2 linked regions of the Daphnia pulex genome follow. The protein of the gene in region 2 interacts with the protein of the main gene of each other region in a biochemical or structural test. Links are inferred from orthologs where the notes say so. Each region holds a gene or a part of one and is shown on either strand. Other genes may lie near its edges.

What was found.
Region 1: of the proteins of ubiquitin-protein ligase E3A-like (region 2) and FAS-associated factor 2-like, one has a biochemical effect on the other in vitro, tested with the Homo sapiens proteins (2 studies listed by BioGRID). The link is inferred for Daphnia pulex from reciprocal best matches to the Homo sapiens genes UBE3A and FAF2.

Annotation. Positions count from the first base shown.
Region 1 is NC_060019.1:5,817,631-5,821,756, forward strand, and holds FAS-associated factor 2-like, read left to right. Parts: upstream 1-1,460; 5' UTR 1,461-1,685; coding exon 1,686-1,745; intron 1,746-1,826; coding exon 1,827-2,244; intron 2,245-2,307; coding exon 2,308-2,668; intron 2,669-2,739; coding exon 2,740-3,007; intron 3,008-3,066; coding exon 3,067-3,213; intron 3,214-3,293; coding exon 3,294-3,467; 3' UTR 3,468-3,610; downstream 3,611-4,126. Other genes in the region: ATP-dependent RNA helicase vasa-like, read left to right, coding at 1-173, 226-340, 393-565, 624-740, 816-884. UniProt on the Homo sapiens protein: Plays an important role in endoplasmic reticulum-associated degradation (ERAD) that mediates ubiquitin-dependent degradation of misfolded endoplasmic reticulum proteins.
Region 2 is NC_060025.1:1,159,748-1,164,324, reverse strand, and holds the start of ubiquitin-protein ligase E3A-like, read left to right. Parts: upstream 1-1,774; 5' UTR 1,775-1,852; exon of another isoform or gene 1,853-1,925; 5' UTR 1,926-2,151; coding exon 2,152-2,192; intron 2,193-2,253; coding exon 2,254-2,419; intron 2,420-2,478; coding exon 2,479-2,607; intron 2,608-2,654; coding exon 2,655-3,449; intron 3,450-3,520; coding exon 3,521-3,691; intron 3,692-3,755; coding exon 3,756-4,091; intron 4,092-4,169; coding exon 4,170-4,223; intron 4,224-4,285; coding exon 4,286-4,577. Other genes in the region: crustapain-like, read left to right, coding at 28-264, 344-426, 569-692, 762-919, 1,051-1,264. UniProt on the Homo sapiens protein: E3 ubiquitin-protein ligase which accepts ubiquitin from an E2 ubiquitin-conjugating enzyme in the form of a thioester and transfers it to its substrates.

The sequences.
Region 1 (4,126 bases), on a different chromosome or scaffold from region 2:
GCGGAACTAATCCCGACGTCCAGCAAACGTTTTACGAATGTGCGCGCAATGAAAAGAGGACCAAATTGATAGAAATCCTTCGTGAATTGGGAGAAGCTAGGACTATTGTGTTTGTCGACAGCAAGAAAACGGCAGATTTCGTTGCTGTATTTTTGTGCAACAGCGATATCCAGGTAGAACATATTCGTATATTGTATTGAATATTTTTATTAAGTTTTCGTATAGGCTACGAGTATCCACGGTGACCGTCTTCAGAGTCAACGCGAAACAGCACTTCGTGAATTCAGGACTGGTATACGTAATGTTCTGGTTGCCACTAATGTCGCTGCACGTGGATTAGGTATATTTCTTTCTGTTTAAAATGTGAATTATGTTAAATCAAATTTTTCTAGATATTGAGGGCGTCAAGTACGTTATTAATTACGACCTTCCTGGTGATATTGAGGAATATGTGCATCGCATTGGTCGAACTGGTCGTGTGGGTAATGTTGGACAATCGATTAGTTTCTTTGATGTAGAGAAAGATGGTCCTAACGCGGGCAAGCTAGTTTCATTGCTTTCAAAGGTAAAGAGATAAAATGGTTTTGAAGTGTTATAGGTTTTTTCATGGAATATTATTTTAGTCCAATGCTGATGTCCCTGCATTCTTGCAAGCGTTGGTGTCCGGAATGGGTGGAATGGGTCTTGATTACAATGCACCTTCGACTCAGGGTGGTTTCGCTAGTCGTGACATGCGTCGGGTGAGTTAAATTTTCGATTGTAAACATTCTGGTGGTGTTTTTTGTTATATTGTTTTTTTTTTTTTTTATATTCAGTTTGGTGATAAACCTGTAGGAGGTGGCGGAGCTGAACGTCCAACCGAAGCTGAGGAGAGCTGGGACTAACGAACTTTCAACGGCGCCTCTTCATTATTCTAAATTTTTGTTTAACGTTTGGAGTTCTCCAAATTAAAAAAAGAAAAGAAATCTCATCCAAGAAAATCTTGGAATTCCCTTACTAAGAATCAATTTGTCGCAATGTTATTATGTGTTTATTTTTCTAACCCAGATTACGAATACAGAACAAATTTCCTTTGTTAAATTTTTTTCTATAAAAAACTTACTTACTCCTAAGCTTATTTGTTTTTCAATTGTTATTGCTGTGAAAGACTAAACTATAGTAGGGGAGGAAATTTTGATGAAATCGACTTGTTTTATTTGAATCTTTAAATTATAAAACTAACTTAAAAGTACCATGCTCACTTGGTATGCATGCAACTTTCAATTTTGCAAAGGCGTGTATGCAAATTAACCTGGAGTACATGAAAAGTAATAATCGCTTACTATTGCGCAATTATCAAATGTAGCCAAAAATTCGCGATCTCCACGAATTTGGGGTGATGAAGATCGCATGTAGTGTAAAATCAGATGAATTGAGGGTTTTACGATACTTTCTTATCAACAGGAAACTGATCTCAGATTTTACACGGACACGGAGATGTTCAAAGTAACTCCCCGCGAGCAGGACAAGGAGTTGAGTTGATAAAAGTTTTTGAGTGCAGCCTAGCGGCCAAGATAGGAACCCAGGAAATATTATTCATCTTCAGTTCTTCACCGATGGTTGCTAGAAAAGTCTACTGATTAAAAGACACAATAAAAGAAGAAGCTAGGCAACTGTAGTTCCCAAAGTTGTTACAATAAATTGTAATGGATCTTGAAGATCGTGAACTCAGTCCTCAAAATACAGAGAAGCTAGTCCAATTTCAGGTAAGAAATCGACTTATTCATGTATATATTCGTCATAAAATGTTGAAAGTAAAAGTGTTAAGTAAATGTCTCTTTATAAAGGAGTTGTCTGGAATCGATGATCTGGACAAATGTATGGAGATTTTAGAGAGGCACAACTGGGATGTAGAGACAGCCATACATGATCATCTTGGTCTAGATCCCAGAGAAATGGCTCAACCTGCCAGGGAAATGCCTGTATTTCCTCTACAAAATGGACAACCTACTGTCCACAGACCTCTCCCACAGAACCCACCTAGAACACAACCTGTCGACTCAGTTATTCAAAGGATAATGACTTACTTCTTCAACCCCTTCCTTGATGACAACACAGGCCTTTTTCCATTGCCAAACCAAAGGCCTGATGGGTTTACAGGATGGCTGTTTTTCCTCTCATCTCTTCCATTAAGAGTTGTGATGGTTACATTTTATCATTTAACCCGTTTTGTCTTCAGGATCATCAGACCAGAAAACCGACCAGGTATTTAAATCTCTACTTTCCTTCAAAATTTCCTTTCTAATTGTGTTTCTGTTAATCCAATAGCTGTCACAGATCCAACAGGAAATGTCATTTCCTTCATTCACGAGTATAATGAAACATTTGGAGATCAACACCCAACTTTCTATCCTGGAACCTACAGTCAGGTTCTCAATGAAGCTAAAAAAGATCTTAAATTTTTGTTGGCATACCTCCACTGTAAAGACCACCAAGACACAAATAAGTTTTGCCGTCAGACGCTCTGCAACCCTCAAGTCATAGAGTTCATTAATAGCAATTGCTTAATGTGGGCGTGCAGTGTAAATAGTTTGGAAGGCTACCGTGTCTCGCAAGCGCTTCGAGAGAATACTTACCCATTTTTGGCCATTATTGTTCAGAGGGAATTCCGTATGACCGTCGTTGGGAGGTACACGGGAAAAATTTCTGTTGCAATATTGAAATCGATTTTTAACGATCTTTTCATGATTTCATTTGCAGAATTGAAGGATTTATTGAACCAGATGCCCTAGTTCAACGTTTACGAACCACAATTTCAGATAATGAAGCTTTTCTAGTGGCCGCAAGGGCAGACCGTGAAGAACGTAGTTTTAACCAAGCTCTAAGGTTAGAGCAAGATGAAGCTTATCTCGAATCGTTACGAGCTGATCAAGAGAAGGAAGAGAAAAAGAGACGTGATCGTTTGCTTGAAGAAGAACGTCTTAGGGAGATTAGAGAGATGGAACTAGCCGAAGAACGAAAGAAAGAGGTAAGGACGACAAGTATATCGCTATCCAATCCGGATTTAATTTTACCCACCCTTTGTAGGAAATGATCCGGAGGAAGCAAGAAGCAATTAACTTGATACCGCCAGAACCCGCTGCCGACGAATCCGGAATTTGCCGTATTCTGATCCGATTACCTAGAGGGCAGAAACTAGAACGGCGCTTCCATCGAACAATCCACACACTCAAAGTAATTTTTTCTCATGGCCATTTCAAACCTTAAATCCATGACCATATAAAATTTTTTATCTGCTAATTATTTCGCAATAGGATCTGTACTATTTTATTTTGGCTCATCCCGATTCTCCATATCAATTTGAAATGGCTACTTCTTTCCCTAAGCGAACGTTACCATGGCAGCCCGACATGGATACTTACCCGACGTTGGCAGAAGTAGGTCTTGGAGCCTCTGAAGCTCTTCTCGTCTTGGACTTGGATGCTTGATCAGTAGAGTTAAAAAATAATGTGTTTACAAAAACCTTTACCTACTCTTGCCCCCAAATTTTTCTTCAATTTCACATTGACCCGGTATTAAACCGCCATAAAAGTATCATGATCATAAAGAAAGAATAAAGAATTTCCATATATATTTTCTGTTATTTCCTTAATTTTGACCCGAAAGCCAGAAAAACCGGCAAAACAGCACAGAGCGACACCTGACAAGCCCCGGCTATTTTGTTAGCTATTGAATAAATTTTGCATATAAATGTCTAGGAAAAAAGGAATTTTGAACAAAAGAATCAAGAAGCTTTAGTGGAAATGAGGAAAGGGGAGCGGTTGAAACCGAACCAATCAAGAACAAAATAATTGGGTAAAAAAAATCAAATTCAAGGAAAACACTGGGGGGGAGGGGAGATGTGGGGTGTATGGGAGTGTAGAGGTTAAGGGCCCTACTAGAAATGAACATAAAATGTCTTCATTAATTTTCCTCTTCTCTGGAAAGTTTTGGTTTCACAAGGACAACACACGCACGGAACAATAATTTATGATCGGGAAAAATAATAATAAAAAAAAAAAAAATAGGAGAAATGAAAAAAAAAAAAAACAACGAAGAGCTGTCTTTACTACAGACCAGGAAAAATCCCAGAGATTCTCGGAGAATT
Region 2 (4,577 bases):
TTAGTTCATCAATCTTTTAAAAAATAGGATGAAGCAGAGAAAAAACTTTACACTGGGGCAGTTGCTCCATCAGGTTCGAGATTTCTGATTGCCGATCAGCAGTTGGATGATTCTATGCGCCAGATACCAACTTCCGTAATTATTTCTTTTTTCCAAATCCGTTTTATATCTATAATCATATATATTGAATCAAAATGTATTACATCATTTCAGTTGGACTATAGAACTAACACCTGTTTGGCGCCAGTTAAAAATCAAGGATCGGTAATTTCTACAATCGATAACCATCATTATTAACAAAACTGGTTTCGTAACTATTCACTTCTTTTTAAAATATTTACAGTGCGGAAGCTGTTGGGCTTTCACTGCCATAGCGCCGCTTGAGTTCGCTCAATGCAAAAAGAGTGGTGCAAAAGTTATTTTGAGGTAATTATCATTTGGAGCAATATATTTGAGTCATTTTTCGTGTCAGTGTGGTGTGCGAAGAAAGGTTCGTTTCGATACAGGAATCTTTATAATCGCTGAAAAATGACATTTTGCTCAAATAGTTAACTATTTTCACTATTAGCGAACAACAACTGGTCGACTGCGACCCTAACAATGGTGGTTGTAACGGCGGATGGTATACAACCGCTTGGGAATATCTAAAGAGTGGATCAGCGAGACAGTCGGCCTATTCTTACACTGCTGTTGTAAGTAATTGATTTGTTTGTTTTTTTTTTAATTGAAAAAATCTTCCTATACCTTTTTATTATCTACAGAAAGGAACTTGCAAGTTTTCCACGTCCACGATTGGTTCGAAAGTCGCTACGTACGGTAGCGTTACATCCAAATCACCATCCTCAATGCAAGCGGCTCTCGTGAGATACGGTCCCCTTTCAGTGGCTATCACCGTCATCAACTCCTTTTACTCTTATAAGTAACTATATTTCCAAAAAAAGAAACACTTTTTTTGTTAAATATTTATTTAGCCTATTAATTATCTGTGATGTCGGATGAGAATTTGTTATTCATCTAAATTCTGTTTCTCCAATTCAATTTGTAAAATAGGAGCGGCGTTTACACTGATGCGGCGTGCGACAATAAGGGCGTGAATCACGGTGTGGTTGTCGTAGGATGGGGTAATCTTTCTGGAGTTGATTACTGGATTGTTCGTAACTCATGGGGATCCGGATGGGGAAGCTCGGGCTACATTTTAATGCAGCGGGGTGTTAACAAATGCAGTATCGAAACTTACCCAGCCGCTGTTGCATCCGTCGTCTGAAAACATTAAAAGGTCATCTTTTCTACGTAAACAACCATTGAAGAAACAAGTTCTTTTGGAGATTTTTCTTATTTATGTTTCACTGTCTGCAAATCTGTGTGGGTCACAGACTCACAGCCTTTTAGATGATGAGCGTGTTAATTTTATATAACTACTAGGTAAACTTGGGATACAATACACATAAATCAGCATAGATAAATCGAAATTCTGGCCTATTCTTTTCGCTTCTCCATAAAGAAATGTCTGAAATATGATCCTTCTCGAAAAAACCCCGTTTGAAATTCATTTTGTTTCACCTCAACGACAGGTATCGAAATTCGAGTTGTCTGCGGCGGTCTTAATTAATTCCAAAATATCACACGAACTACTAGTAATTTTAATCCGGATCTTTGAGCGTTAGAATTGTCTTTAGGTTCTGAAGTCTAAACAAGATAGACCTCATGAATTTTTGTTAAACATAGGAACCCCCCAAAAAATTAATTAAATAAAAATTAGTTGCACAAGGTTTTAGTTTTACTATCCGATCATAGAGGGCTTTTGTCGAGCAGCACATTCAGTGCGCGAAGTGTTGTCAAAGAATTTCTCTGCGTAAACGAAATAGCTAATTTTTTTTGCCATATTTGCCCGAATAACGAGAATTCGTTTTCAATATTAATTGCAGGTTTTGAGCTATTTACGTTCCACTGGTCAACGTAATTTCAATCAAAACGCGTTTTCCCAAATCAGGAATCGTACAAAGTTGTAAGCAGATAATGGCTCGAATTCCATTATGCTAGTCATCTGTGTCCCTTTTTCTTTCGGTCGCTTGAAGTTTATCAACTACTCACGGCCTTCCGATTGATTTCATTGACGTAAATTATAATCATTAAGCCAAAAGTAATTGCAACATGGCTGAAAATGGTAAAAATGATGGTGGCAATATCTTGAGGTATTTGGCAATTTTAATATTTAGATGTAACCAATACTAATGTTTGTTTTTGACATGGTAGTGCTGGGGACAGTCAAACACTGGACAAGCGTGTTGCAGCTCGTCAGTTAATCAAACGTTATTATTTCCAGCTGACTGAAGGATGTGGTGACCAAAACTGTAACAATGAACATTGTGCCTCTAGTAAAAAAGTTCAAAATCTTTCTCCAAACCAAGCTGCTGCTCAGGTATCAACATAAAAAATAATTTTAGAAGAAGCCAGTCATTGATTGATTATATTGCATAGGCTCTGGATTTATTTGCCCGCAAAGGAAGGCTTTGTGTTGGCACTGGCAAGAATGAACTACCGAGCACATTGTTTCCTGAAATTACACCTGCTAGTACTAGTGCCATCTCTGATCAGCAATTGCTCAAAGTATTTAACCAATTGTTTCATTTCAGTAGTCTCATTAATCAGGCTAGATTTCCAATTTGAAGCAGGGATTGTGGGTTCCTCCAGCTCTGAGTGTGTCTGGCCATCCTGCAAATGACAAATCAGGCATTTCCAAACCAACCAAGTTGACAGAAACAAATTTTAAGCAGATCGTTGACAATTGCAAAGAATATGGAATCTATTCAAAGCTAGTTCACACATTGGGACATGTCTTTGCCAATCCTGAGCTGTTGGGGAAGAGTTTTATTACGCAAGGAAACAACTCATGTACATCTACATTAGGACATGGCCAGCTAAGTAAAGAACAACTTCGCTCGATGGAGGTGGATTTGGATAAAGATAAAGACAGCCAAGAAGCCGTCGCAGAACCTCGTCTCCAGGACGTTGGCCAAGAAGTCAGCGTTGATATCTGTTGCGTCCGCCGATCATTCGAAGTCTTGAGCTCCATCGAGCCACAAAACTACGAAAGCGCCTTAGTTCACGCCCTCATTCTTCTATGCGAAACTATTGAACTGGATATGAAATTCGGGAGGCAAAAAGCTGAAGTCAATTTGCTCAACGTCTTCGTCATTGTTTTCGAACTACCGTGGCTTGGCACTGGTGACTACTTTGAAAGTGTTTTGCCGACCTTATGCCGCGCCTGCGCTCTTTTACCTCTAACCCAACAAGCCACTCTAGTCCGATTTTGGGCGGCTCACAGTGTCCCCAATCTAAGAAATCTGGTCCAAACACTTCAACAGCTCATTAGTTTTAGAGTGTTATCAGGAGATTTTGGGCGAGACTATGCCATCAATGATGACAATACTATTACTGCTTGTGTCAAGGTATAGTGGTTTAAATATTGTTTTGCAATGCTTACCCCTCTTATTCGTTGATTTTCCAATTTGTCTAACAGGTGATGCGAATACTGTACTGCGTCAACATATTTTCTTGTACCACACCTAGCAGTAAGTTGACTGGTGCATCAGTTGACGCGATGGAAACAGACGATCCTTCTAAAGATTCCTTCGATGTCTTTTCGTTTGGAATCGATCCTTCCCCTAGGTTGGGTTCCAAGCAAAACAAGGTAAGCTTTGACTGACATTTCGAAACAAAATTTGTTTTGATCCATTTTTTACTTTGCTAAATAGACAAGAAAGAATGATCCACTTATGTCGGAACTTGGAGTCAACGTTCTTGACTGTCGACAACCTCCGGTCGCTTTTGCTGACTTCTACAACGAACCGCTAAGTGATGTTGTTGAGATGGATCGTGATTTTGCCTACTTTGCCGCTGCCTCCGAAGCCCCTCCTTCGGCTTCCAACAATGCATTGAAGATTAGTTTCATGAACTTCCCATTCATTCTTACACCGGCCGCCAAAGCCCTCGGTCTCTATTATGATAACCGTATCAGAATGTATAGCGAACGTCGTCAAAGTATTTTCAACAGCGTCATGAACGGACAACCAAGTAATCCATATCTAAAGGTATTTATCCAATAGAGGTTTTCTATTTCTTAAAAAGATTCTAACTAAACTTACTTTTTTCTATCCCTATTTCACTAGTTGAAAATTCGACGTGATCATGTCATCGACGATGCCCTTATTGGTTTGGAAATGGTAAGTTTCAATCAGGGATCTAATTAGGAAACGTCCTTATTGACTAATTACTTACTTAACAGGTAGCCATGGAGAATCCTTCGGATCTCAAGAAGCAATTGGTGGTGGAATTTGAAGGCGAGCAAGGCATTGATGAAGGTGGTCTGTCGAAAGAGTTTTTTCAGTTAGTCATCGACCAAGTTTTCAATCCCGACTACGCCATGTTTGCCTTCAACTCCGACACTCGCAATTTCTGGTTCAACCCTACGTCGTTTGAAAGTGACGCCCAATTTACGTTGATTGGCATCATGCTCGGATTGGCTATTTACAACACGATCATTCTAGACATTCACTTTCCTATGGTTGTCTATCGTA